Linked DNA regions of Callithrix jacchus. The protein of the gene in region 4 interacts with the protein of the main gene of each other region in a biochemical or structural test. Links are inferred from orthologs where the notes say so. Each region holds a gene or a part of one and is shown on either strand. Other genes may lie near its edges.

Evidence for each region.
Region 1: the proteins of GTF2E1 (region 4) and TAF6 form a complex in vitro, tested with the Homo sapiens proteins (2 studies listed by BioGRID). The link is inferred for Callithrix jacchus from reciprocal best matches to the Homo sapiens genes GTF2E1 and TAF6.
Region 2: of the proteins of GTF2E1 (region 4) and CDK7, one has a biochemical effect on the other in vitro, tested with the Homo sapiens proteins (3 studies listed by BioGRID, with this or other methods). The link is inferred for Callithrix jacchus from reciprocal best matches to the Homo sapiens genes GTF2E1 and CDK7.
Region 3: the proteins of GTF2E1 (region 4) and GTF2F2 form a complex in vitro, tested with the Homo sapiens proteins (2 studies listed by BioGRID). The link is inferred for Callithrix jacchus from reciprocal best matches to the Homo sapiens genes GTF2E1 and GTF2F2.

What each region holds. Positions count from the first base shown.
Region 1 is NC_133503.1:13,463,548-13,471,033, forward strand, and holds the start of TAF6 (transcription initiation factor TFIID subunit 6), read left to right. Parts: upstream 1-3,198; 5' UTR 3,199-3,683; intron 3,684-7,486. Other genes in the region: CNPY4 (protein canopy homolog 4), read right to left, coding at 1-94, 190-316, 679-796, 2,700-2,732. UniProt on the Homo sapiens protein: The TFIID basal transcription factor complex plays a major role in the initiation of RNA polymerase II (Pol II)-dependent transcription.
Region 2 is NC_133503.1:140,267,091-140,273,938, reverse strand, and holds the end of CDK7 (cyclin-dependent kinase 7), read left to right. Parts: intron 1-429; coding exon 430-579; intron 580-3,918; coding exon 3,919-4,066; intron 4,067-4,479; coding exon 4,480-4,508; 3' UTR 4,509-4,678; downstream 4,679-6,848. UniProt on the Homo sapiens protein: Serine/threonine kinase involved in cell cycle control and in RNA polymerase II-mediated RNA transcription. Cyclin-dependent kinases (CDKs) are activated by the binding to a cyclin and mediate the progression through the cell cycle.
Region 3 is NC_133506.1:164,326,134-164,333,903, forward strand, and holds the start of GTF2F2 (general transcription factor IIF subunit 2), read left to right. Parts: upstream 1-2,656; 5' UTR 2,657-2,801; coding exon 2,802-2,867; intron 2,868-7,770. UniProt on the Homo sapiens protein: TFIIF is a general transcription initiation factor that binds to RNA polymerase II and helps to recruit it to the initiation complex in collaboration with TFIIB.
Region 4 is NC_133516.1:82,238,281-82,245,982, forward strand, and holds the start of GTF2E1 (general transcription factor IIE subunit 1), read right to left. Parts: upstream 5,110-7,702; 5' UTR 5,059-5,109; intron 2,884-5,058; 5' UTR 2,783-2,883; intron 1-2,782. Other genes in the region: RABL3 (rab-like protein 3), read left to right, coding at 5,346-5,391.

The DNA.
Region 1 (7,486 bases), on a different chromosome or scaffold from region 4:
GGCATATCTCAGTGAGCCCTTGCGCTCAGCGTGAACACTGTAGTCCAGGATCCGCTCACATAAATTCTCCAAGGCCTCTTCTAACCTTGTCTCTCTGTGGAAAGAGGGCAAACAAAGATTCCTTGGATGCTTTAGGAACTCCCAGCGCTCCTTTGGCGGTTGGAAGGTGGAGGAGCATGGAGGACTCACGACACGCTGTAAGGCACATGTTTCTTCCTCTTGCCTGTGTCCAGCACCTGCCCCAGCTCCAGCACCTCTCGAGATTGGCCAGTTCGACTCAGCTCCGCCTGTAGCTCTGTGCTCAGCAGCTTACACACTGGCAGGGAGGAGAAACATCCGGGGGAGGTGAAAGACAGACAAACACATCAGCCATTCATTCGGCAGATGACCTGAGGCAGCAGAACATTCAAGTGCATACTTGAGCCAAACTGGCTGGGTTGGAATCCTGGCTCAGCCATTTAGCAGCTGTGTGACAATCTTGCTACTTGCTGTGCCTCTATTTCTTCATCTCTAAAATGGGATAATAGGCCAGGCATGGTGGCTCATGCCTGTAATCCCAGCGCTTTGGGAGGCTGAAGTGGGTGGATCACTTGAGGAGTTCAAGACCAGCCTGGCCAACATGGTGAAACCCCATCTCTATTAAAAATATAAAAACTAGCCAGGTGTGGTAGTACACACCTGTAATCCCAGCTACTCCGGAGACTGAGGCAGGAGAATCACTTGAACCCAGCAGGCGGAGGTTGCAATGAGCTGAGATCCTGCCACTGCACTCCAGCCTGGACAATAGAGGGAGACTCTGTCTCAAAAAAAGTAAAATATGTTAAAAATAAATAAAATGGGATAAGAATCATCTGTCCCTCATAGGGGTGTGATGAGTATTAAATCAACATATACAGGCCGGGCGCAGTGGCTCACACCTGTCATCCCAGCACTCTGGGAGGCTAAGGTGGTCGGATCACAAGGTCAGAAGTTCGAGACCTACCTGGGCAACATGGTGAAACCCCATCTCTACTAAAAATATACAAATTAGCCAAGTGTGATGGCAGGCGCCTGTAATCCCAGCTACTTGGGAGGCTGAGGCAGGAGACACAGGAGGTTGCAATGAGCTGAGATTTTTGCCACAGCATTCCAGCCTGGGTAACAGCGTAAGGCTCTTGTCTCAAGAATAAAATGCTGGGCACAGCAGCTTACACCTGTCATCCCAGCACTTTGGGAGGCCAAGGTGGCTGGATCACAAAGTCAGGGGTTCAAGACCAGCCTGGCCAAGATGGTAAAACTCCCTCTCTACTAAAAATACAAAAGAAATTAGTTGGCATGGTGGCAGATGCCTGCAATCTCAGTTACTCAGGAGGCTGAGGTTGTAGTGAGCCAAGATGGCACCACTGCATTCCAGCCTGGGTGACAGAGTGAGACTCTATCTAAAAAAAAAAAATTACACACACAGACACACACATATACGTATATATAAATAAAATGGGATAATAGTCTGTCCCTCATAGGAGTGTGATGAGGATTAAAGAAACCAACATATATAAAGGCTGGCACATAGTGAGCACTGTATATGTATTCACTGTTATCCTGCAGTTATTGAGCTCCTTCTGCATTCACACTAACAATACAGACAGCATTAAGACCTATTATATCTATCTACGGGTCTCCGTCAGTGTAGTTGGGACAGAAAAACCTAGGATGACAAGATATGGTGAAGCTGGTCCTGAACTCATGGGCTCAAGTATTCCTCCTACTTTGGCCTTCCAAAGTGCTGGGATTACAGATGTGAGCTACTGTGTGCAGCCCCTTTGGCTGTATTCTGATCAAAGGCCTGCAGAGGTTTTAAAGCAAGGACTGATACAATTAGGTGATTAAGTCTGTGTTTAAAAAGGCTGACAGGTCAGGGGAGAAGAGTGGGACACGGAGGTGAAAAGAGACAGAGATGAGGACTACGTCATGAGAGTATCATGACCACCTTTCCTGACTTTACGTTTCTTCCCTCAAGAATCCAGGGAAGAAACGTGAAGTCAGGAGGGCAGCAAACTAGGGGATCAGGGCCAGCTCTGAAGTGCCCCCTTTCTCAACTGGGCCCCACACTAGTGCAGCTACGGAAAGTGCTGCTTGCTGAAAAATCCACATAGTACACACCGTCTGCAAAGTCTCACCCGGATGGGGAACCTCCCCTAGTCGTGTGGCCTCCTGTTGTTTTTGAGCTTGAAGGGCAGAATTACTCACCCTCAAACCCCGTCAGGGGTCGTGGGGCCTGTAATTTGGGAGCGTCTATGCTAGGGTGGGGCAGCAGATGTCCACAAGGCCTGAGCCTCACAGAGCTCCTGCAGCCTCTGCAGATTAAGGTCTGGTGACGGGAAACACGCACTGAAGATGCTCTAAAGTTGGCAGTCCAGGGCCAATGGTCCCTGAACTACAATTCCCACAATCCATTGGGGGGGGGCGGGGGGGTCCAAGTCAACCAAAAAAATGCAGGCTCTCTTTGAATGCCTCCTGGGAAGTGCAGTGCCATAGCTTTGGGGCGGCACTACACGTTTGCTTCCTTGACCCCATCCATTCAAATTCAGCCAAGCTCCACCAGAACCTCCCTCAAGCTTTCAAGGAGTTCAGGTGACCCACCCAATACAGTCCAAGAGGTCCGGCCTAGAAGAAGGAGGTGTGGCCGGGCGATGCCAACAGGGGCTACCCCCTTCAGATACCTTCGCATTTGCTGGGCAAACGTTCTGTGTCATCGTCCTCTTCCTTCGGCTTCCCAGCCCAAGCCCCGTGCACGGCCAAAAGGAAAAGCAATATTCCCAACCACATAGGTCCCATGACAAAGCGCCATCCACAAACAACCATCGCTTGCTTTCAAACCAACTTCGGGAAGGCAGTGGGTCCTTTAAATGCCCAGGCGGCTGGCGGCAACCTTAAATCCAGCCTGGCAAGGTCGGCGCACGAGCAGAATCAGCTCGGTAGGGGGCGGGGCCTCATTGCTCTGAGTTTCTCCGCCTCCGTTTTGTGGCGCCTCTTCAAGGTCCTGGCAGCCGGGTAGTGAAGGAATAATTTGCAGTAATTCAACCAAGACGGAATTCTTCTTATATGTAGATGTTTAAACAAAATTTTAAAATATAATTTCATTCCGTGAGTCCAGAGAACGTATTCTGGCACGGGGAAGCGGTAGCGATTTGGACTTCCGCTCTGCCAGGACCTGCTCCTAGGAGGGGGCGGGGCCAAGATGGCGCCCAGCGCCGGGTGAGCGGCGTCTTGGCGGCGGCCAGAGTTTTCCTGCTCCCAGCGTTCGGCTGGCGGGGGCGGGTCTGAGTGGTACTCTGGAGGAGACCCTTTGAAGGTCCCTTGTGGGGACTAGAAACAAGACGGTTGGTTGTGTGTCCGTGCTCGTGGGGACCCCGTGTGTGTGTCTGCATTGGAGAGATGTTGCAGGAGATGAGGTGGGCTCTCTGAGCCTCCTTTCGCGCTCCCCGGGGATTTTCGACCTGCTTCTCTGCTGGGATCCCGCTCAAGTTAATCCTCCCCTGGGACGCCTTCCTGCCGCCTCCACTGATCTGAGGAGATCCTGTGACTGTAGCGTGTTTTATGAGCCTTTACTGACAGAGGGTACCGCCGGGTATTGAAGGATTCGTAAGAGTTCGCCAGGGAAGTGGGACACGACCGCCTCTTATAAACGCGGCGCCAGGCACAGAGTATGTCTCGAATAATTGTGTTCCCTATAGATAAGACTTTAAAAAGTTGGGGAGGAGACCAGGGATGGTTTGAAAAGAACCAGTTTCTTCTTCGGCCTCCCTCTTCCCATCCTTCCAGCACAGCCCCACCCTACCACCTGTACTATTCCTGAACAGTATTGATGTTAATCTTCCTAATGTCCAGCTCCAGTGTGCCACTTGACTTTTTTTTTTTTTTCCTTGAGACAGGGTTTCTGTCTGTTGCCCACGCTGCTATGGAACTCCTAGGCTCAAGTGATCCTCCCACCTCAGCCTCTTAAGTAGCTGGGATGACAGGTCCACCATGCCAGGCTAATTTTTCAATTTTTTGCAGAGATGGGGGTCTCACTATGTTAAGCAAGCTGTTTCAAACTCCCATCCTCAAGTGATCCACCTTCCTCTGTCTCCCAAAGTGCTGGGATTACTGGAGTGAGCTACCTTGCTTGGCTCCATTTTGTTGTTTTTTTAAGACTGGAGTCTCCCTCAGGCGCCCAGGCTGGAGTGCAGTGACATGATCTCGGTTCACTGTAACCTCTACCTCCTGGGTTCAAATGGTTCTCCCACCTCAGCCTCCCAAGTAGCTGGGACTACAGGTGGCCACCCCCATGTTCTGCTAATTTTTGTGATTTTACAAAAAAATGGGATCTTGCCACGTTGACCAGGGTGGTCTTGAACTCCTGACCTCTGGTGATCTTCCCACCTCGGCCTCCCAAATTGCAGGCGTGAGCCACTGCACCTGGTCTACTTTGCTTTTAACTGCAGTGTAGGCTCGAAGTTTGGACCTGTGACATATTTTCTTAATAACAGCAATAACTAGTAGTTACCGAGTACCAACATCTCTAAACCTTACAACTAATTCATCTACTTAACAAATATTTATGATGTCCCAGGCTGGGATCCTGGAATACATTAGTGAACATAATAAAGTGCCCTGTCAGCTGGGCATGATGGCTCACGCCTGTAATCCCAGCACTTTGGGAGGCCGAGGCAGGCGGATCACCAGAGGTCAGGAGTTCGAGACCAGCCTGAGGAACATGGCGAAACCCCATCTATACTAAAAATACAAAAATTAGGCCGAGCACGGTGGCTCATGCCTGTAATCCCAGCTACTCGGGAGGCTGAGGCAGGAGAATCACTTGAACCCACGAGGCAGAGGTTGCAGTGAGCCGAGATTGCGCCACTGCACTCCAACCTGGCGCCTGGCGACAGAGCAAGACTCTGTCTCAAAAAAAAAAGAAAATAGGAAAATTAGCCTGCTGTGCTGGCACATGCCTGTAATACCAGCCACTTGGGAGGCTGAGGCAGGAGAATCGCTTGAACCCGGAAGGCAGAGGTTGCAGTGAGCCAAGATCGCACCACTGCACTCCAGCCTAGGCAACAGGAGTGAATTCCATCTCAAAAAAATAAAAAGCAAATAAAGAGCCCTGTCTATATGGTGTGTGGTGGGGGTAATAAACAATAAGAAACGATACAACGAATTAGAAGGTTTTTTTGTTTTTTTGAGATGGAGTCTCACTTTGTTGCCAGGCTGGAGTACAGTGGCTCACTGCAACCTCTGCCTCCTGGGTTCAAGTGATTCTCCTGCCTCAGCCTCCCAAGTAGCTGGGACTATAGGCACATGCCACCACGCCCAGCTAATTTTCATATTTTTAGTAGAGACAGGGTTTCACCATGTTGGCCAGGATGGTGTCAATCTCTTGACCTTGTGATCTACCCGCCTTGGCCTTTCAAAGTGCTGGGATTACAGGCGTGAGCCATTGCACCCAACCCAGATGTTAAATGCTATAGAAAAGAAAAAGTGGCATTCATTCAAAAAAAGAAAAGAAAAAGTGGGCTGCTCCCACTCTGAGGGCAGAGTGCAGAGTTAAATAGGGTGGTCAGGGCAGACAGGCAATCAGGCATTCTGGAAGAACATTCCAGGCAGAGGGAATGGAGTAAAGGCTATTAGACAAGAGTATGCCTGGCAAGTTGAAGGGGCAGCCTGAAGGAATATGTGTCTGGATCAAAGTGGAAGCAGGAAGGAAAGGCAGTCAGAGATGTAATGGGAGAAGGCAAATTTTGAAGGGCTTTGTAGGACATTAAAAGGATTTTATCTTCTTTTTCTTTTTTCTTTTTTTTTTTTTTGAGAAGGAGTCTTGCTCTGTCACCCAGGCTGGAGTACAGTGACATGATCTTTGCTCACTGCAACCTCTGCCTCTCGGGTTCAAGTGATTCTCCTGCCTCAACCTCCCTAGTAGCTGCAATTATAGGCGTCCGCCACCATACCCATCTAATTTTTGTATTTTTAGTAGCGATAGGTTTTACCATGTTGGCCAGGCTGGTCTTGAACTCCTAGCCTCCCAAAGTGCTAGGATTACAGGCATGAGCCACTGTGCCCAGCCTCAGATGGGGTTTATTATGTTGACCACGCTGGTCAGGAATTCCTAAGCCCAAGCAGTTTTACCAGCTCAGCCTCCCAAAGTGCAGAGATTACAGGCATGAGCTGAGCCACCACACCTGGCCATTATAAAGATTTCAGGTTTTACTCTGTGGCAAGTGGAGAGCCATTATAAGGGTTTGAGCAAAGAAATGACAATATGCTTTACAGTTTGACATTAGCATTTTGGCTGCAAAGTTAGGAACAGATGTAGAGAGAGACAAGGGTAGAGATCAGTGGACCTTGTCTGGAGGCTTTTAGAGTTACCAGGGGATAGATGATGGTGACCTGGGCCAAGCAGCGAGAACAGGACAGTCAGGTTGGACTACTGGGTGGATTTTTTTTTTTTTAATCTTATTATATATTTTTTGAGATGAAGTGTCTCTGTCGCCGAGGCTGTAATACAATGGCACAATCTCAACTCACCACAGCCTCCACCCCGCAAGGTCAAGTGATTCTCCTGCCTCAGCCTTCTGAGTAGCTGGGATTACAGGCACGCACCACCATACCCGGCTGAGTTTTCTGTTTTTAGTAGAGACAGGATTTCTCCATGTTGGCCAGGCTGTTCTCGAACTCCTGACCTCAAGTGATCTGCCCACCTCAGCCTCCCAAAGTTCTGGCATTACAGGCCTGAGCCACCACCTGGTGGATCTGATGTGAAGGCTTAGATAAAGAACAAGTGCCTGGACGGATGGCAGTGCTGTGCAGATAAGGAAAGCTGAGGCTGGGCCAGGCACTTCAGCTCATGCCTCTAATTCCAACACTTTGAGAAGCAAAAGCTGGAGGCTCCCTTGAGCCCAAGACATCAAAGTGCTGGGATTGAAGCCTTGAGGTATAACAGAAAAAGAAATATGGGCTGGGCCTGGTGACTCAGGCCTTTAATCCCAGCACTTTGGAAGGCCAAAGCAGGAGGATTGCATGAGGCCAGCAGTTCAAGACCAGCCTGGGCAACATAGTGAGACTCTGTACCCCCCCAACAAAAAAAATTAGCTGTGCTGATAGTACACATCTATAGTCCCAGCTACTTGGGAAGCTGAGGTGTGAGCACTGCTTGATCCTGGGAGCTTCTGAGCCCTATCAGTCCTCCCACCTCTGCCTCCTGAGTAACTAAAACTATAGCTTTAAGCCTGCATGCCCAGCTAATTTTGTACTTTTTGTAGAGATGGGATCTCACTATATTGCCCAGGCTGGTTGCGAACTGCTGGGCTCAAGCGATCCTCCTACCTCAGGCTCCCAAAGTGTTAGAATTGCAGGCATGAGCCACTAGGCCCAGCCCAGAGGTTTTTTTTTTTGAGGTGGAGTCTCTCTGTCACCCTGGCTGGAGTGCAGTGGTGCAGTCTTGGCTCACTGCAACCTCTGCCCTCTGGGT
Region 2 (6,848 bases), on a different chromosome or scaffold from region 4:
ATCAATTTGAGGGGGATTAACATCCTTCCTCTGTTGAATATTCCAATATGTGAACGTGGTATGTTTCACCATTTATTGAGATCTTTGGATTTGTTTCATTAGCATTGTATAGCTTCTAGTATATTACCCTATATACATGTTTTGTTACATTTTTCACCTGTATTATTTTTCTTTTTGGGGTAATTTTAAATAGTACTGTGTTTTTAATTTTGATGTCCACACATTCATTGCTAGTATAATGAATTAAAATTGGTTTAATTTTCATTTTGTATCCTTCCAGCCTTGCCTTACTAGTAGTTCTAGGACTTTTCAATAGATTTCTTGGAATTTTCTATATAAACCATCATATCACCTGAAAATACGATTTATTTCATTTGAGATCTACATGGATTTCAACCTTCAGTTTGAATTATAAAATTATTTTTACAGGACATGTGTAGTCTTCCAGATTATGTGACATTTAAGAGTTTTCCTGGAATTCCATTGCATCATATCTTCAGTGCAGCAGGAGACGACTTATTAGATCTCATACAAGGCTTATTCTTATTTAATCCATGTGCTCGAATTACGGCCACACAGGTATTTTACCGTATCTTTTTTTATACTAGGAAATATAAAAATAATCTTAACTGTAGCATTGATAAAAATAGAATTTCATAAAATTAACCTTTTTTAAATACTGGAAAAGATGTGTTTTTGTTTGTTTTAGGAAATAACAAACTTTGTATTTTTTCCCCAAACAGCAAACACTGTTAAGACTGAGATTAAGTTATATGCACACAGAGATATAGGAGAGCTTACACTTAATACACTTGCTTAGGAACATATAAATACATATCTATTTCATATAATTGGTTTGTAAATACTTTACCTGGAGAGGAAAGGAAAACCAAGGCTTTTTATTTGTTAAGAAACTGAAAACTGTTTATTTTTTCAGTTGCACTCTTAAAAATTCATTTCAATCTTGTAGCAAGCCTAATGCTGAAAGTAATTTATTCAGCTTATTTTTTCTTCCCTATATAATGTAATCTGGGTATGCATACTGGTCATTTTCACATTCAGAAAATGGTATAATCAGATATGATTGTATGCTTACAAGAGCTTGAAAGATACTCAAAAACTGAAACCAACTGCTATTTAAAGGAGAAAACAATGAAACTCATGAAAAATTTGGAGGGCCTAGAATAACTTATAGCAGAGCACTGTACAACACAGTGCAGTGATTTTTACCTGATGAAGGGAGAGACTAAAGTGAAGTATCAGAAGCCTTTATGGAAACATATTAATGTACAGTAATATTAAGGATACAAAATAGATTCCCCCCCCTTAGGTTTGTTCCAGCTACAAAATCATTGTTTAATGCATTTGCTTGTATAAGCCTTCTCTTTTTAGCAATACATGCTATGTGTATATAGAAATGGATAGATGGATGGATGGATGGATGGATGGATGGATGGATGGATGGATGGATGCTGCGTATTTACCATTAGAATTACTCTTCTAATTTTAAAAAAAATTTTTGTTATTTTTATGTCCATATGTACACATGCTCTTCTAATTTAAGACAAGTAATTTGTTGCCTTTTCGCTCATACTTCTATGTATATAATTTCCATCATAATAAACCTGAGACCACATTTAATTATCTAGTAAGTTGTTTTCATTGGGAGTATAGTTTGAAACTTATAGAAAAATACTAGTTGTTATATTTGGGTTGTATTTTAATAGGATGAAGTTTTTAAAGTGAGTTTTTGTATCATGGATGTCTTTATTAAAGTTGGAATGAGTTACTTTCTTAGATCTTTATCGTGTCGCCCAGAATTAGCCTAATTTGCATATAAGACCACTGTGATTTAGAAGTAATGCTTTAAAAATCCAACTGTGGGCCAGGTGCAGTGGCTCACACTTGTAATCCCAGCACTTTGGGAGGCCAAGGAGCAAGGATAGCTTGAGCCCAGGAGTTGGAGCCCTGGGCAACATGACATCAGCTCTGCAATAAATAAATAAATAAAAATAAAAAATGCAACCGTTGAAGTAGAAATCTCTAAATTACTGAAAATAATATAATATTGGTGACAGTGGGGAATGCTTGAAAAGTTTATATGGGCTTCATTCTTCTTTCTTAAAGGATTATCCTAAAGGAAGTAATTCATTTTATTTATTTATTTATTTATTTGACCAAGTCTTGCGCTGTCACCCAGGCTGGAGTGCAGTGGTGTGATCTTGACTCTCTGAAACCATCAGCTCCCAGGTTCAAGTGATTCTCCTACCTCAACTTCCCTGTAGCTGGGATTACAAGCGCATACCACCACACCCAACTAATTCTGTATTTTTAGTAGAGACAGGGTTTCACCATGTTGGCCAGGTTGGTCTGAACTCTTGATCTCAGGTGATCCATCCGCCTTGGCCTCTCGAAGTGCTGGGATTACAGGCATGAGCCACCGTGCCTGGCCAGAAGTATTTTAAATCACTGTGACCACTGGACAGCACTATGCTGCATGTAAATAGACAAGCATGTGAACCCAGGAGGCAGAGGTTGCAGTGAGCTGAGATTGCACCACTGAACTCCAGCCTGGGTGACAGAGTGAGACTCTATCAAAAAAAAAAACAAAATTAAAAAGACAAGCATGACCTGACAAACTTGTCATTTAGAACATAACTATTTTTTATCAGAATTGTGGACCCAACTCAAGAAACTGTCATATCTACAGCACTATAGTAGGGGAAAAAAAGAAAATATATCATAGAACATTGGCCTGGTAATTAATAGAAATAATCTTGGACAAGCCCTTCCAAGTAAAATTTCTGTCCATTTGCAGTGGATTGTTGAATTAGAATCCATTGGTTCTAACCTGTATTTTTTTAAAAGCCTTATTTTTTAAGAATTTATATTTTACATGACTTGGAATTTGAACATATATGGATAGTGTGGCAAACTTGTAAGATTTTTTTAAGTTTCTCTCTTTGCATTTTGAACTGTAGAGCTCAATATGTAGAAAATGGAAATATATAATATTTCACTTAGGGTAGCTCATAATTAGTTTAGGTTGAGCAACCCTAATTCAAATATCCAAAATCTGAAATGCTCCAAAATCCAAAACTTTTTGAATGCTGATGTGATGCCACCAGTGGAAAATTCCACACATAAGGACATTAACAGAAAGTTTGTCAAATTAAAAATATTGTATAAAATTGCCTTCAGTTTATATGTATAAGCTGTATGTGAAACATAAATTTCATTTTTAATCTTGGGTCCCATCCCCAAGATCTCTCATGTATATGCAAATATTCCACAGTCCAAAATCTGAAGCAGTTCTGGGCCCAAGAATTTCAGGTAAGAGATATTCAGCCTGAGTAGGCTATTTAATTAAGGAAAAATTAGAAGGGAGTCTCTTTTTCTTTTCTTTTATTCTGAAGTAGAGCTTTGCTCTGTCACCCAGGCTGGAGTGCAAGGGTGTAATCTCAGCTCACTGCAACCTTCACCTCCCGGGTTCAAATGATTTTCCTGCCTCAGCCTCCCAAGTTGCGGGGGGACTACAGATGTGTACCACCACACCCAGCTAATTTTTGTATTTTTAGTGGAGACGAGGTTTCACCATGTTGGCCAGGCTGATCTCAAACTCCTGACCTCATGTGATCTGCCCACCTCGGCCTCCCAAAGTACTGGGATTACAGGCGTGAGCCACCATGCCTGAACAGTCTTTTTCTTATAGTAATGGAATTATCAACCAATCTTAGGATCCTAGATGTTTATTTTTAGTAATTTACATTTGCAAATACTTGACATTGTGTTTTGTTTTTGGGAATGAGGGCGTTTACATAGTATTTTTAATGCTCCCTATAATCTTGAGGGTGAGATTTTCCTTCACACATTTGAGGTACTCACCTACCTTACTTTTGATATCTTTTCTTTTAAAAGGCACTGAAAATGAAGTATTTCAGTAATCGGCCAGGGCCAACACCTGGATGTCAGTTGCCAAGACCAAACTGTCCAGTGGAAACCTTAAAGGAGCAATCAAATCCAGCTTTGGCGACAAAAAGGAAAAGAACAGATGCCTTGGAACAAGGTAAGATTCCCACTTTTATAAGAAATTAAATGAATTCAGAAAACTCCAAATAGCTCATGTATGTCTAGCAACTGAACAACAGCAAAGAAGTGTAGCTTGCTAGCTATTTAATTTCTACAAATTTAAATTGTAGAAAGTAGAGAGACTGTGCTGTTTTAGGTATGTTTACTTTCATTGAGAATACTTCAGGCACTTTTACATATACCTCAGAATTATGAGAACTCTCTATGTGTACCTTGTTCCCTTCATAAATCCCATCTGTCAACTGTATGCTAAATGCTTAACAAGTGCTATTGGAAAAATGTGTCAGCGAAATAAAATAATGTAGGTGGAAGCAGTGACTGGTTAAAATTGCTGTGAGAATGTGAACTTTGTTAAATGTGAACAACTTTTTTTTTTCTTTTGCTTTCTAGGAGGATTGCCCAAGAAACTGATTTTTTAAAGAGAACACTAGACAACATTTTACTACTGAAAGAAATAGTCAAAAAGGCAAATAATAGAAAAATAGTAAACATTAAGTAAATGCTGTAGAAGTGATTTTGTAAATATTCTACACATGTAAAATATGTAAAACTATGGGTTATTTTTATTAAATGTATTTTAAAATAAAAATTCTGTTTTTTTCTGAGTAGAGTGCAAAAGTGAGAAAAGTTCAATTCGCTTGAAATGTAGAATTGAAAATGCATTAGGGATGAACACATTTCAGTGTCTTCGCCTGTCAAAAAAAAAATGCATTAAGGAAAACTTAATGCAAATTATTACCAGTTATTTTGAAGATCTGGCCCATATAGCATCACAAATCTGTAGTAGCCTTGGTAGTGTTTAAAAATAGAAAGGTAGGCCAGGCATGGTGGCTCACACCTGTAATCCCAGTACTTGGGGAGGCCAAGGCGGGCCGATCACCTGAGGTCAGAAGTTCGAGACCAATCTGACCAACATGGAGAAACCCTGTCTCTACTAAAAAAAAAAAAAAAAAAAAAAATAGGGCCAGGCACGGTGGCTCAAGCCTGTAATCCCAGCACTTTGGGAGGCCGAGGCGGGTGGATCACGAGGTCAAGAGATCGAGACCATCCTGGTCAACATGGTGAAACCCCGTCTCTACTAAAAATACAAAAAAAATTAGCTGGGCGTGGTGGTGCGCCCCTGTAATCCCAGCTACTCGGGAGGCTGAGGCAGGAGAATTGCCTGAACCCAGGAGGCGGAGGTAGCGATGAGCCGAGATTGCGCCTTTGCACTCCAGCCTGGGTAACAAGAGCGAAACTCCGTCTCAAAAAAAAAAAAAAAATAATAATAATAATAATAATACAAAATTAGCCAGGCGTGGTGGCACGTGCCTATAATCCCAGCTACTCGGGAGGCTGAGGCAGGAGAATCACTTGAACCCAGGAGGCGGAGGTTGCGGTGAGCTGAGATCGAGCCACTGCACTCCAGCCTGGGCAACAAGAGTGAAACTCCATCTCAAGGAAAGAAAAAAATAGAAATGTTAGTAGTGGTAAAGTAAATACTACCCAAACTTAACAAATATGATGTACTAAAGAAAACATTACAGATAAAATTGAGGTTCCCCTTCAACCTTTTTTCTGAGGAGAGGACAAAGTCTCAGTGACACTCAGGGTGGAGTGCAGTGGTATACTCCCGGCTCACTGCAACTTCTGCCTCCCAGGGTCAGGCAATTCACTTCCCGAACAGCTGGGATTATGGGAACGCACCACTACACCTGGCTTTTTTTTTTTTTTCTTTTGAAATGGAGTCTTGCTCTGTTGCCCAGGCTGGAGTGCAGTGGTGCCATCTTGGCTCACTGCAACCTCTCCCTCCCAGGTTCAAGTGCTTCTCCTGTGTCAGCCTTCCAAGTGGCTGGGACTACAGGCTTACACCACCATGCCTGTCTAATTTATCTGCAATAGAGATGGGGTTTCACTGTTGCCCAGGCTGGTCTCAAACTCCTGACCTTGTAATCAGCTCACCTCGGCCTCCCACAATGCTGGGATCACAGGCATAGCCACTGCGCCTGGCCTTAAATTTTATTTTTATTTTTTGGTTATACTGATGAGAGGTTTTTGTGTTGCTCAGGTTGGCCTTGAACACATAGACTCGCCTCCTTGTGCGCCAGGACAACAGACCTGAGCCACTGTGACTCCCTGATTTTTTATATTTTTAGCAGAGATGGGGTTTCACCATGTTGGCCAGGCTGGCTTCGAATTCCTGACCTCAAGTGATCTGCCCACTTCGGTTTCCAAAAGTGCTGGGATTATAGGCATGAGCCACTGCACCTGGCCAGAGGATCCACCCCTAAATACTTCATTTTATTTCTATTTTTTTCCTTTTCATTCTCCCCAAAGGGAAATGACTCTTATGAAATTGTGTGTATCTTTCTGTGATTTTATGCTGCTATTTTGTAAGAATACATGTAGTAAGATGAATAACAATGTACGGCATTGTTTTGGGTCTCAGAATTGTATATAAATTGATAGAATCTATTTCCTTTTTTTTGTGAGATAGAGTCTTGCTCTGTTGCCCAGGTTAGAGTGTAGTAGTAGTGCAATCATGGCTCACTGCAGCCTCAAACTCCTCGGCTCAAGTCATCCTCCCACCTCAACCTCCCCAGTAGCTGCAACTACAAGTGTACATCATCACGCCTGGTTAATTTTTTTTAATGAGACAGAGTTTTGCTCTGTTGCCCAGGCTGGAGTGCAGTGGTGCAGTCTCAGCTCACTGCAACCTCTGCCTCCTGGAGTTAAACCCATCCTCCTGCCTCAGCCTCCCAAGTAGCTGGGATCACAAG
Region 3 (7,770 bases), on a different chromosome or scaffold from region 4:
GGGGTTTCACCATGTTGGCCAGGATGGTCTCGATCTCCTGACTTCGTGATCCACCCGCCTCGGCTTCCCAAAGTGCTGGGATTACAGGCTTGAGCCACCGCGCCCAGCCTCTTTTCTTCTCTAGCCTTTTCATCAGCCATTTTTCTCTCCCAATCTGTGCACGCGCGCATACACACACACACACACACACACACACACACACACACACCATACATTTTAAAGCCTCCCATGACCCAGAGGCGAAGGCCAAGTTTCCAATCTTTAAAGTCCATTCCTGGGGTGCTCTAGGCTACCTTGCTGCTCTTCTCCCATGGTCTCATATTTCTTTTTGTTGTTGTTGTTGTTATTTGGTCTTTATTTCATAATCATAAACTTAACTCTGCAATCCAGCTAGGCATGGAAGGGAACAAGGAAAACGTGGAACCCAAAGGGAACTGCAGCGCACAGATTCTAGGACACTGCGAGCAAATGGGGTGGAGGGTGCTCTCCTGAGCTACAGAAGGAATGGTCTGGTGGTTCAGGTAAAATACAAGTCAAACTGACTAAAGTTGTCCACAGTCGGCAGTGGTGATCTTCTTGCTGGTCTTGCCATTCCTGGACCCACAGCGCTCCATGGCCTCCACAATATTCATGCCTCTTTCACCTTGCCGGAGACCACATGCTTGCCATCCAATCACTCAGTCTTGACAGTCAGATGAAAAACTGGGAACCGTTTGTGTTGGGTCCAGCATTTGCCATGGATAAGATGCCGGGACCTGTGTGCTTTAGGATGAAGTTGTCATTATCAAATTTCTCCCTGTAGATGGACTTGCCACCAGTGCCATTATGGCGTGTGAAGTCACCACCCTGACACATAAACCCTGGAATAATTCTGTGAAAGCAGGAACGCTTATAACCAAATCCTTTCTCTCCAGGGCTCAGAGCACGAAAGTTTTCTGCTGTCTTTGGAAACTTGTCTGCAAACAGCTCGAAGGAGACATGGCCCAAGGGCTCACGTAGACGGCAATGTGGAAGAACACGGTGGGGTTGACCATGGCTGATACTACAAGGCTCCAGGCGGTGGCGGGGTCTGCAAAGCCTCATATTTCAATTTATTCCTTCTACTTGATTAAAGCTTAGAGCAGTTCCTTTCACCCACTTACCCTTTATATGTTTTAGGCCCTTTCCCAAGTTGTTGCACAAGAAGAAATCTTCATTTTCTACTTAAATTTTTTTTCTTTTTCTTGTTTTTAGAGATGGGGGTCTTGCTATGTTGACCAGGCTGGTCTCGAACTCCTGACCTCGTGATCCACCCGCCTCGGCCTCCCAAAGTGCTTGGAATACAGGCATGAGCCACCACACATGGCCGAAACTTTCATTTTCAACACACTCCCAGTCTCTCCCATCTTTCCTATTAGTTTTGCTAGCTAATTGTAGAGTTCTGACAGCTTTTCCTGGCCCTATGCTGAACATACGTAAAATTTCCTCAATTTTGTTCATGGCTCTGATGTATGACTCAAAAAATTACTTGCCATTCTTAACAATACCTTATTGTTTCTCTTCAGCGAATGTTCTTTCAACCAAAGCCTACTGAAATCTGACGATGTATCAAACACTGTACTAGACATTGTGGAGATAAAATGAATAAAGCACTATTTTTTATTTGTCAATTATACCTCAATAAGGCTCTTTTTGCCTAGGACCAGTTCATAGTCTGGAAAGCAAAGGCAGACATGTAAACATACATATTACAGTGCAGAGTGCTAAGTATCACAGCGTGATGTGAAGAAAAACTAATTTCTTCCGGGGGAGTTGATAAAAGGTGTCACAGGAAGTGACATTTCCGTTGGTCTTGAACTACAAGTAGGAGTTTGGCAACCAGAGGACAGGGGTGGGAATGAGGGTAGGGGTAAAACAGGGCATCTGAGGGAAGGGAATCCAGTGTGCAGAGGCTCTGAAATGACCGAGGAAGATTCTGACGTGTTCAGGAAAGTCTGCTGGGTTTGGTGTGGTTGGGTGGGTGGTGGAGTGATGGGTGGTGGTGGAGGGCCCAGTTGAAGCAGAAGGGTTGAATTTTATTCCAGAGGCAAGAAGAGAAAGAGAACATCGTTTACGCAGGGGAGGAAACGACCAAGTTTGTCTCTTACTTGTTCATTTCTTCACAGACCTCCGGGTTTTGGAGTCTGAGGTGCTCTGCTCGCTTAATCAGAAGAGCTCAGGCAGCCTCCGAGCTGAAACACCGCTTTCTTTTCAGGTCTAGAAACGGCATGTGTTCAGTACCAGGGCTACCCAGTCTGATCCCAGTGCCCACCTGTGCTAATGACGTTGGCCAAGGACGCCCATTTGCTACCCAGATCCTGCCCTTCAAATACTGTCTCTCTCTCTCTCTCCTCTCTCTGGCTAGGACTGGACATGTTCTGACAGCTCTTGTCTCTTTGAACCCCATTTTTTCATTCTGATAATCTTTTTCTTCAGTTATGCTGACCTTGTCTTTAAATACATTGCTAACGTTTTGGCTCATCCCAACCAAGTTTCAATCCCTCTGATAGACATCGCTGACAGCCACGCCCACCCGAGAAATTGCCGACACAGGAAGTTTGTCCGCAACAGGGCGCCGTACTGACGTAGTAATACGCAGGCGCAATCCCAGCTCCCGGCGGCGTGTTCCCCTTTCCGCGGGTTTCCGGTGTCCGGGCCGGTGAGAAACGCCGGCTCTTCACCTCTCAGCGCGGCTTAGCGCTTTGCTCCGGACGTTCGCTCCGCAGCCCTCCGGCTCCTGGGGTCGCTGCTACAGCCCGCGCGCCTCCACCAGCGGCAGACCCATGGCCGAGCGCGGGGAACTCGATCTGACCGGCGCCAAACAGAACACGGGAGTGTGGCTTGTCAAGGTAACGTTCGCTGCGCGCTCCTCCCAACACGAGTATAGTTTAAGTAACTTGAACCCATCCGGCTGCGTGCGCCTCTTAAAGTTCTTTTACGGCTGTCTCGTTAGAGCTTCACGTACTTTGAGAGGCAGGAGGCATTGCTGTATGTTTGCAGATGAGGAAATCCGTTTAGGCGCGCCAGTTACGAGTCTGAATCCACCTGGACTCGTCTCTTCTTCTCACGGCTTTCCTGGAGCCTCGTCCTGATGTCCCCGGTTTGGACGGTGCATTTTATCTAGGACCGAAGAATTCCTTGTGTCTTCTCTTGGTGAAACTGCTTTTAGCCATGAGCCTGTGTGGGGTAGTTGAATGTCTGTTTTCTGTACATTTTTCTCGGCGAGAAAGTAGAACCGGTCCATGCGTACCCTTAAAGTGTTGTGTTAGGTTGATGGTCCTTAATGGAGCTCCGAAAAGAGGCGAGACAGCTCTCAACTCGCAGGAGACGTCATTGGACTGGGATATTCTTTGTTTTTTTTTTTTTTTTTTTTTTTTTTTTTGAGACAGAGTTTCACTCTTGTTACCCAGGCTGGCGTGCAATGGCGCGATCTCGGCTCACCGCAACCTCCGCCTCCTGGGTTCAAACAATTCTCCTGCCTCAGCCTCCTGAGTAGCTGGAATTACAGGCACGCGCCACCGTGCCCAGCTAATTTTTTGTATTTTTAGTAGAGACGGGGTTTCACCATGTTGACCAGGATGGTCTCGATCTCTTGACCTCGTGATCCACCCGCCTCGGCCTCCCAAAGTGCTGGGATTATAGGCGTGAGCCGCCGCGCCCGGCCTGGAATATTCTTTTAGAGCACAATTGGGTCTCGTGAAACTGACCATCAGTAAGTGTTTTACGTAAAGACAGCGATTTTGGTTAGCTCACAGTGGGCACTACTCGTGCTTCACTGTTTCATGTTGGGGAGTGTTGTCTCCTAGGGGAGGCTCATAATACTTAGGCATATTCGACATGTGATCCTGAAACTCATTGAAACTTAAAATGTAGGGACTTTTGGTTTCTTAATGCTTTCGCTTATTTTATCACATGGCTGAGTTCTCGTCAATTATATCTAAGCGGTCTTCCTTGTCGGTCTTCCTAAAAGAGCTCCCTTATGATCATTTGCTAACATGACATATCCATGTTACATTCCTCAAAGCACTTTTCACGGTGTAGAGTGATTTTGTGTTAATATGTGAAAAGTTGGTTACCTTCGTCTTTCCAACACAAAATTGCATTCCGTGAGAACAGGATCTTTGCCTGTTTACCCAGAATAGTGTTTGGCACATGGTAATTATTCAACAAACAGGTGATGAATAAATGCCTGACCTCTCACTCTTCAACCCTTGCCTTAGTCTGTGGCACTCATTTGACTTATTTCAAAGCTCAGTATGACTTAAAAGAATGGATTAAATAGGCCGGGCACGGTGGCTCAAGCCTGTAATCCCAGCAGTTTGGGAGGCCGAGGCGGGTGGATCACGAGGTCAAGAGATCGAGACCATCCTGGTCAACATGGTGAAACCCCGTCTCTACTAAAAAAAAAAATCAAAAAATTAGCTGGGCATGGTAGCGCGTGCCTGTAATCTCAGCTACTCAGGAGGCTGAGGCAGGAGAATTGCCTGAACCTAGGAGGTGGAGGTTGCGGTGAGCCGAGATCGCACCATTGCACTCCAGCCTGGGTAACAAGAGCGAAGCTCCGTCTCAAAAAAAAAAAAGAATGGATTAAATAGGCATTTCTCGCTCCAGCAGCATGTTAATTGGAGGAGAGTCACTAAGGAAGAGATGATCCTTGCAGACTGAAGGAAAAAGCTTGAAAACATAGTGTGACTGGAGATGGTGCCGTTGTCCTAGGAGCATGGTAAATGCTCAATGTTTGCCTTACATGATTTGGATGGGTAGACATGGTGTATACCATGGGGAGTGGAACAGAAATGCAAGACTCAAAATACGTAATCGTGGAAAACATGGCATGTTTTGGCATGTTGTGGAAAACAGACCCTAGAGCAGAAGATCTGTGTAAATAAAGGTTGGGCCCATATACTCAGACTGTCATGTCATGAAGTGGAAATGTTCTAACTTTAGTTTACAAGGAAGTAACAAACTTTTTGGAGGACTTGAGTGAGGTAGCGACGCCAGGTATTCAGAAAAAAAATGTTTGGCAGTGTGCAGTACGAATTAGAGAGGAGGGCAACCAGAGTCACAATTAGAAAATTATCACAGGATTGGGCTGGGCCTGGTGGCTCACGCCTATAATCCCAGCACTTTGGGAGGCTGAGGTGGGCAGATCACGAGGTCAGGAGTTTGAGACCAGCCTGGCCGATATGGTGAAACCTTGTCTCTACTAAAAATACAAAAATTAGCCAGACATAATGGCACATGCCTGTGGTCCTAGCTACTCGGGAGGCTGAGGCAGAAAAATCGCTTGAACCGTGGAGGTGAAGGTTGCAGTGAACCAAGATCGTGCCACTGCACTGTAGCTTGGGCGACAGAGAGATTCTGTCTCAAAAAAAAAAAAAAAAAAATCACAGGATGCTAGGTACATGATAATGAAGCTTAGGAGTTAGGGAAACTTTGAGTAAAATTGTCAGGATTTGCTGACTCACTCAGAAAAAGAACTCGAGCAAAGTAATTATAATGTTTTGATTACTTTTTGTTTGCAGCCTCATTGCTTCTCATACCAATTTGGCATGCAGTATTTCTTCTTTTTCTAATCTTACCTATCAAAGAAGTGAAGAAACATGCAAATGCATCTTTTTAGGGTGTGAAGAGGGTGTGGTAGATCTTGTGCCCAAACAACCTTATCTCTGGAGGATGAGAATTACTAGCAAATACTTTTTTTTTTCCTTTTTAAGACAGGATCTTACTCTGTTTTCCAGGCTGGAATGCAGTGGTGCCATCACAGCTCACTGCAACCTCTGCCTCTGGGCTCAAGCGATCCTTCCACCTCAGCCTCCTGACTACCTGGGCTTACAGGTGCACACCACCACACCTGGCTAATTTTTTTTTGCTATGTTTTGTAGAGACGGGGTTTTGCCATGTTGCTCAGCTAGGCTGGTCTTTTTTTTTTTTGAGACAGAGTCTCACTCTGTCGCCAGGTGCCAGGCTGGAGTGCAGTGGCACAATCTCAGCTCACTGCAACCTCCACCTCCTGCGTTCAAGCAGTTCTCCTGCCTCAGCCTCCTGAGTAGCTGGGACTACAGGCACATGCCACCACATCCAGCTAATTTTTGTATTTTTAGTAGAGACGGGGTTTCACCATGTTGGCCAGGATGGTCTTGATCTCTTGACCTCATGATCTGCCTGCCTCGGCCTCCCAAAGTGCTGGGATTACAGGCATGAGCCACTGAACTTGGCTAGTGAATACCTTTTGTTCTAAAATCTATTCATGTTACCCCTTTACTTGACAACATTTATCTGTGTTCTAAAGTAGTACTAATAGGCAATGGGGTTTGGTATACACACCTGTCAGATAGTTTGAACTTGCTACATTTGCACTGGGGTTAGCATTCAGTGTGATTTCCATGCCTGTATCTTCAGTGTACTTGGATTTTCATTTCTGAATTATAGGAATATATTATATGAAACAGTACATCAAATTGTGTTAGTCTACTTCATTTTCAGCATGTGTGTGATATTAAAGTGTAACTTGAGCCGTGCGTGGTGGCTCATGCCTGCAATCCTAGCACTTTGGGAGGCTGAGGCAGGTGGATCACCTGAGGTCGGGAGTTAGAGACCAGCCTGGCCAACATGGTGAAACCCCATCTCTACTAAAAATACAAAAATTCGCTGGCCATAATTGTGGGCACCTGTAATCTCAGCAACTCGGGAGGATTGTTTGAACCCAGGAGGCAGAGGTTGCAGTGAGCTGAGATTGTGGCATTGAGCTACAGCCTAGGCAACAGAGCAAAAACTGTGTCTCAAAAAATAAAAATAGAAATGAAGTGTAACTCATTGCCTACAAAGTGTATCTTAATTCTCATCTAATCAGAATTTGAATTGAACTACATATTGATTTCAAGTTTTTTCTCTTTACATTAATATTTTCTGTTATAAATAATACTTTGTGCTTTGTGTTCTGATCTTTGTTGCTAAGTAATGTTTCTTCCTAGGATATCTCAAAAGTTTATAGGTCATCTTGTACATATTTAATTATATCACTAGACAGGTATAGAACTCTGAATACAGTAAGGACTTACATACAAGATCTCTGAGAGGTTTGAGCAGGAAAAAAGTTTATGCTTCGCTAGAACTGGGAAGACGTCATAGAGAAGGTGACATTTAAGAAAAGCCTGGGGGGTGGGGAGTTGGGGAGAGATCGCATGGGGAGAAATGCCAGATATAGGTGAAGGGGAGGAAGGCAGCAAATCACACTGCCATGTGTGTACCTATACAACAATCTTGCATGTTCTTCACATGTACCCCAAAACCTAAAATGCAAAAAAAAAAAAAAAAAAAAAAAAAGCCTATCTGGAGCTTGCAGCAAGTCAAGAATGTGCCATTGCACTCCAGCCTGGGCGACAGAGTGACACGCTGTTTCAAAAAAAAAAGGCCGGGCGCGGTGGCTCAAGCCTGTAATCCCAGCACTTTGGGAGGCCGAGGTGGGTGGATCACGAGGTCAAGAGATCTAGACCATCCTGGGCAACACGGTGAAACCCTGTCTCTACTAAACATAGAAAAAATTAGCTGGGCATGGTGGCGCATGCCTGTAATCCCAGCTACTCGGGAGGCTGAGGCAGGAGAATTGCCTGAACCCAGGAGGCGGAGGTTGCGGTGAGCTGAGAACGCGCCATTGCACTCCAGACTGGGTAACGAGCGAAACTCCGTCTTAAAAAAAAAAAAATTGGATGTGACAGTGATCTGGCTGAGACATCCATCATCCCATTGATC
Region 4 (7,702 bases):
ATAAGGACACGGTAATCCTTTTAAATCTAGAATAGCCAACATGTTACTGGTAGCTTATAGCTACCACTATTCTTGGAGTGCCAGAGAAGTACTCAAAGAGTTTAAAAAGATTTCTAATACCTAAGCATTTAACAGAGCAGAACAAGATTTTCCTCTAGAGTACACAAAAGATTACACCCAAAAAGCTTTACATATTTCTAAAATGGCTACTTTTTATTTTGAGATCCACAGTACCATACTACGTGTGTTATGATCTACAGTGTGTTTGATTAAAAAGTAACTTCTTATTTATGAAACGATATATGTCAAGTCTATTTTATTTCAGAAAAGAAACAGAAAAAAACTACATGAAACGCTCACCATTCTTTGGGAATGCTGGAAACCCTGAGAAACCTAACAGTTAGCATTTCCTAAAAGTGTTTCCTTTCTCAAAATTTTTCTACCAAGATTCCAGGATGTTTTACATAGTCGGGCTTTCACAATAAAATCACAACAAACCAATAAACACATAAGTAATCACCACTGTTGCAAAACTGAAAAAAATAATACTTAGGTCCAGATAGTTTTACCAACCTTGAAAAATTAAATGTGATAATCAAGTAAGGACCATGCAGTCCTTAAAAGGATAGACAATAAGTGAGGGAGAGCAGCCCAAAATATTCTTAAATATTGGATCCCCTGCAAAGCAGAAACTAAGTGTATCTCATTTCCATGCCATGGCCCAGAAAGCTGTCTTCTCAAAGCCCATATTGGCATGTGGTTTACAAAAAGAACCTGAGCTTTGAATTTCAGAGTAGACAGCCTGTGTTTCGGTAACTATGTAGTCCTGAGCAAATCCCTTAAACAATTTCAAGTCACACTTTACTCTCTGAGAAATAAGGATGTTATCAACTACCTCAGTGAAATTGTTGTCATTAATAAGAATGTAATTAAAGTGCTTAGGAAGGACAGCTTCCATATCAACTTAACATGTTCCAAACTAAAAATGGTGAGGCTATCCACACAGATTAAATCAAGTTAAATTTCGCTAGTCCACAGGGAATTTTTTTTTTTATTTCTTTTAATAGAGACAGGGTCTCGCTATGTTGCCCAAGCTAGAGTTCAGTGGTGTGACTCAGCTCAAAGCAGACTCAAGCTTCTGGGCTCAAGCAATCCTTCCATCTCAGCTTCCCCAGTAGGCTGGGGTGCATACCACCATGACTGACTAATTTTTGTATTTTTTGTAGAGAGAGGGTTTCACTGTTTTGCCCAGGCTGGTCTTGAACTTCTGGGCTCAAGGGATCCACCCATCTTGGGGGCTTCCTAAAGTGCTGGGATTACAGGTGTGAGCCACCACAGCCAGCCCACAGGATAATTATTTTTTTTTTTGAGATAGGGTCTCGCTCTCTTACCTAGGCTGGAGTGCAGTGGCGCAAGCTTGGCTCACTGCAACCTCTGCCTCATGGGTTCAAGTGATCCTCCTGCCACAGCCTCCCGAGTAGCTGGGACTACAGGCATGCAACACCACACCCACATAATTTTGGAATTTTTAGTAAAGACAGGGTTTCACCATCTTGGCCAGGCTCCACAGGATAATTTTTAACAGAGACATCCCATTCAACTATTTCAATGGGGAATCATATTCTGTTGTTAATACTAGTTTCAACTGACCTTTTTATTTGAAATCAGTGGTTATCAACCCTAACAGATTTAATATCCTTTTTATAAGAAATATTTTGATATCCACAGTACCACACTACAAGGAAACTCTACACACCAATCTATAATCAATCTATGCACATATTTTGGGAGGAAAATATAAGGCCCATCTTGCAACATAGGAAAATTAAAAGAAAATATGTACTTTTGGTTATGAATACTCAGGTACGACTATATTCAATAAGATACAGCAAAGTAGCACCTAGATACAAATCTGTGAACCTAGAGCACTTCCTGTTACCCCAGGGCTTAAGGATGCCTGGCAAGTGCCTGGGCTCAACACCAAAGTAGTACCACAGCATACTACTGGACACACTTTTTCTCCTTTTCAGTTTGATCTATACATTGTACTTGAACCCAGTTTTGTTTTTTATTGTTTTACATCTTCAACAGTTGTCAGAACACAACATATGGCTTCAGAAACATTCAACGAAGAATGGCAGAAAAATGTCAACATAACCTGTTTACAGGATTATTTCCTACTATTGTATTCTCCTTACCCGCCCATACATGCCATGCCGCAGATTAAATTCTCAAGCCTGGTTGTAAGGCACAATCATCTAGGGAACATTTTAAGAATACTGACACTGGGCCCTATTCCCAAAGATTTTGTCTCAGGTGACCTGGAGGGGCCAGATTAGGCATCACACAATTTCTTAAAGCTCTTTAGGTGACTCTGCTATGTGAAAGTGCCTACTATATATCCTGCCAATGCCCATCCTGCATGGAGAGGGCCCTGTACCAGTTAATGCTGAGCCTGTTTCCTTTGCCTAAAACACCCTAGGAAGCCATGAGGACTAAAGGGAGTGAGTCAAGGATTCTACAATCCAACAGTTTTGGAGTTTAAATCCCAGTTCCAGCATTTCTTAGCCCCCCCTGACCCCAGAAAATTCTCAGACTCAGTTTCTTCATATATAAAAAGTAAGCAGGTCAGGTGCAGTGGCTAATGCCTGTAACTGCACACCTTGGGAGGCCAAGGTGGGAGGACTGTTTGAGCCCAGAAGTTCAAGACCAGTCCAGGCAACAGAGTAAGACCCCATGTCTCCAAAAATTTAAAAACTTAGACGGGTATGATGCCATGTACCTGTAGTACCAGTTGAGGTAGATCAACTGAGCCAGGAGGTCAAGGCTGCATTGACCCATAATTTTGCCACTGCACTCCAGCCTAGGTGACAGGGCATGACCCTAAAAAAAAAAAAGAGTGATTAACGGTGCCCTGTTCATACAGTTAATGTGTGAACTCAGTGAGATAATTAATGCAAAGTGTTCTACCATCAGGGCTGGCATAAGAGTTCAATGAAGTATTGGTATTTGTAATAAATCCCCTATTTAGAAAAGTGACTCTTATAGCAGCATGAGGAATGGACTCAAGTGAGTGAAGGTGGAGGCACTGTGGAAGTATTGGGGGTATAGTAAGAAAACCTAAACTAAGGAAGAAGGCAAAAAATTGCAAGAAGAGAACAGAATGAATGAGTTATTACAGAAAAAAAGTCAAAAGGACCCAACAAAATATACTGCATACAGAGTATGAGAGTAGGAAAAATCTTAAATAGCTCTGTTTTGAGCCAGCATACCTAGGAAGGGAAAAGTACTGACATGAGTAATAGGTGACACCTGACGAGGAGCAGATTTGGAAGAAATAAGGAAATCACTTTTAGAAGTGTCTCTGAGGAAATACCATAGGATATTCCTCTGAATATTCCCAGCAGGTAGCAGAACAAATGAAAACTAGAGCTCAGGAATGAAATGAAGCTGTGCCGCCTTGTTCAAAATCTCCGCATTCTGAAATCCTCCTTCCTGACCACTGCTTTCTCTCCTCCACCACCTCCCACTCACGCTGAATCTCCTTACTCAATCTCTAGATGTCTTAGGTAAGAGTTCTCAAACTGGCAGCCCCCCACGCATTGTTTCACCCAAAGAACGTTTCAAAAATTTTCTGAATTAGTTGTCAACATTAAAATATTTTAAGAGCTCACATACATTTCAACTTCCAGCTCCTCTTGAAAAATTGAAAATATCTGAGGAAAAATAAAACCCATGTTCCGACATGAAAACAATAAGCTGAAGCCGAATAGCAGCTGGCATTATTAGGGAAGGAGTTTGGCTGGTCTCTGGAGACTTGTGAGTATGGGACCACCCAGGACCTTTGTTTCTTCCTTTGATCTTCACAGTCCATGAGTCATCTCCCAGCCTCACGTCCCTACCCCAGTCCAGACCCTCGTGTATTTTAATCATATAAACATTTAAGGACTACTGTGCATCAACCAGGCACGGAGCTACAGAAACAAAGTTGAAAAGAATGCACCCTCTGCCCTCTGTCTACCCTGTCAGCCTCATATCCAGCCACACTAGCATATTCTCAATTCCATAAGCCACATGTGCTTTCCCTACTTCCCAGGCCTTTGCACATGCTGTTCCTTCTGCCCCTACAGCTAAGCCCAAACTCCCTTCTCTTAATCATCCTTCAAGTCTCAAAAAACATTTCCTCATAGAGGCAGGTCTTCCCAGACTCCCCATAGTAGCATACAAGTATCCCCTTTCACATGTTCCATGGCTCTTTCCCCTTCTTGTACTTTCTCCGTCTCTATACCTAAGACCAGACTTTATCTTGTTCAGCAATTAATTTCCAGCCTCTAGCATAGCCAGACAAGCCCTTCCATAAAACTTTCCATATGTCTCCTAGGCACGTGTTGTTCCAACATGGCTCATTTTGCCAGCTTCCCCGCACTTCATTTCCTCCACACTCTTGCTTCCACAGCAGAATCAGACAGGCTATTTATTGGACACTCTCTTCTTAGATTTAAAATAGTTTTAAGCGGGAGGTGAGTGGATCAAATTCCCGATGTTAAAAGGCTGCGCTGACTGCATAGTGGAGAACAAAACGAGAAAAGAGTGGATGCGGAGAGTATAGTTAGGTTACTTCAGTATACCACTACTCCAGTTCTAGAACAACTTTGATTCTACACATCTAACTGCGGTTTTCTGTTACTATATTTCATGGCACTTTGCACGCCTTCACACACATAGCGGCAGACTACCGCGAAACCTTAGGATCCAACTGCCCTACATGAGACGCGTTCGGTGATGTGCACGCCTCCCCAGTGCGAGACTGCGAGACCCCAAGACCCCAAACTCCCTCAGACTCTCCCAGTTGGGTCCAGGGCCACACTCGAGGCAGCCAAGCCCGGCCTAACCGAGGTCGCACACGGGCCGCTCCGGGTCAACGGTTCTTTAGAGGACCAAGGCAAGAGGGTAACTCATTAGGGGAGGATAATTAAGAGGGTGCGAAAGGAAGGAGAAATCATAAAATGCAATGCCCGGCCAGGGAACTCCGAACAAGGAACAGGGAACAAGGTTTACCAAAGCGAATCCTCGAACACTCCCACTACAGCCGCCCTCAGAGCTTCAACTACCGGCTTAAATGAGCCACGCCCTTGTGCGACAAAGAAAACGCATCTTTTCTGCGACTAGCTTTGGAAAACACCCCGATACCTTTTACCACACCAGCCAATCAGCTCAGTGAAGCCTTCGATCAGGCGAGTCACGCTACTAGCGGCCAATGAAATTGAAGGCTCTGTCCTCCATGCCCAACTCTGATTGGCTTATAATCCCGGAACAGGCGTTAACCCAGAGAAGGCAGTGGCAAGATGGCCTCCCTGGATCGAGTGAAGGTACTGGTGTTGGGAGACTCAGGTGAGAGGCTAAACTCATGTCTGGGACTCCAGACACTTTTGACTTATCCAATAACCCTCCCCTTAACTTTCTTCCCTCAATTTCCTGGCTCTTCGGCACGGGTCTGAAGTCCCTCCCAAGGCCTGAAGACTACACTTCCCAGAGGACTTTGCTCCGTGTGACGACGAGGCAGCGGCGGCGCGCGGGAGGGGGTCGCGGAGCTTGGGCCTTCTGCCTTCGCGGCTTTCCACATCGGTTTCCCAGGCGACACCAACCTAGCGTGTATTTTCAATTTAAAAAAAAAAAAAAAAGGCAGGCATTGTGTATTGCATCCGGTTCTGTGTTAAGGCTACAGAAGTTAGTAGAACAAAAAGTTAGAGATTTTGTTCATTAAGGAAGTCAAACGTTCATTGAGAAACGTGCACTGGCAAGCGCTTGGCATACGCTAACTCATTTAATTCTGAGGTCAGTCCTATTACCCATTTTACAGGTGAGAGTAGTGAGGCAGAGAGATGTAAATGACAGAATCCTTTTGAACACAGAGTCTACATACTTAGACGCTAAACTATAATTATGCAATGAAATACTGGGTAATGGTCCTGTTTTATTGTTAACTGAGCTTTTTATTTCCTTGTTTGGTCTTCATTGAAAACCTATTACTAGAGAAAGTAAAGAGTTTTATTCTGAAGCAGCAAGGATTTAATGCTGAGCCCAGTTTAATCCTAGCGTTAAAATTCTTTTTTCTTTTTATTTTTTTCTTTTATTTATTTTTTTTAATGAGTCCAAAAGTAACCGTTTACTGGTTACTAAAGGACTCTCTTTTTTATTTTTTAATCTCAATGGATGCAACCTGAGGTCGGGAGTTCAAGACCAGCCTGACCAACATGGTAAAACCCCCTCTTAAAAACATAAATGAAAGAAAGAAGGAAGGAAGGAAGGAAGGGAGGAAGGGAGGGAGGGAGGGAGGGAGGGAGGGAGGGAATTCTTTTGACACCTGGGACATTTGAGAACTACAGCTGACGCTGACATCTGCATTTCCAGCTCCCACCTCACTGCCCTTATCTTTTCCTCCATAATTCAAATAATTCAACTCCTTAAGAACTTCAATAAAATGCTAACTTTGCATTTTATGGATGTGCGGTTCTAGAGTTGGCCTAAGAGCGTGTGTTGTGAGCAAAGACATTGTGCTAGATGCTTGGAGGTGGAGAGGCCTAAAAACTACTCTTACAGAAACTAAATAAAATTGTGGCAGGCAAAGATATATTAAGGATGTTTTCACATTGCCCTGAATATTATTTACATTATGAAATATTTTACAGAGAGAATTATTTAATATTCCCCTAAGAAAGTTGCCTTTGAAACTCTATGAACATAACCACAATTTATGTCAACTTCATTTCTTTGTCAGGTAGCTTGAAGTGGTGCCAAAGTTAATTTAATAAAATCACTCAGTTTTACAGATAAAAAAAGTAATGGTGGCCTAAAGGGACTTGGCAAGAGTATTACCAAGTAGAATTTAAGACTGGAATTGAGAACTAACAGACTTCTTCATGATGTGTGAAGTGGGTGTTTTCTGTCCTCTATAATTCCATTTTCTGTTGTATCTAACAATCCCTTCATATTACAAACTGCTGCAACTAGTCAATTTATTTTCTTTCCAACATGCACTGTTTTAGGTTCTGGGGTTATAACTCTGGAATTAATGCATTATATAACAGGGGTAGGATTAGCTGCTACATTAAATGTGGAAAAGTAACCAGGCAATTAGTAAGCTTTCCCACTACCGCCCTTCCCCTTATGGTTTAGTTGTAAAGCAGAAGACACAGCTATGACAGCCAGGAAAGTGATTGATGTTGTCACACATTTGCTAATGTTAAGCTTTATGTGCAAGTTTAGTTACTGTCTTTTAATCTTTTTAAAAGGTAATTTTGTCAGTCTCCTTTTAACTGCAATTTAAAAGTACACGATCTGACAGCTTAGAATATGCTTTTTACACTTCCTTGGCCTTTGGTTCAAACCCGAAAGCTTATTTTTTAATAAAGGCCATTTTCCTCATAAAATTTTGAGTTTCACAAATATATAAAGAAATGACTTAGCCAGGCAAGGTGGGTTTTGCCTGTAATCCCAGCACTTTGGGAGGTTCAGGTGGGTGGATTGCTTGAGCTCAGGAGTTCAAGACCAGCCTGGGCAACATAGCTAGACCCTGTCTCTACCAAAAACAATACAGAAAGTTAGTCGGGCATGGTGGTGTATGCCTGTAGTCCCAGCTATTTGGGAGGCTGAGGTGAGAGGATCGCTTGAGCCCAGGGATTTGAGGCTGCAGTGACCTAGG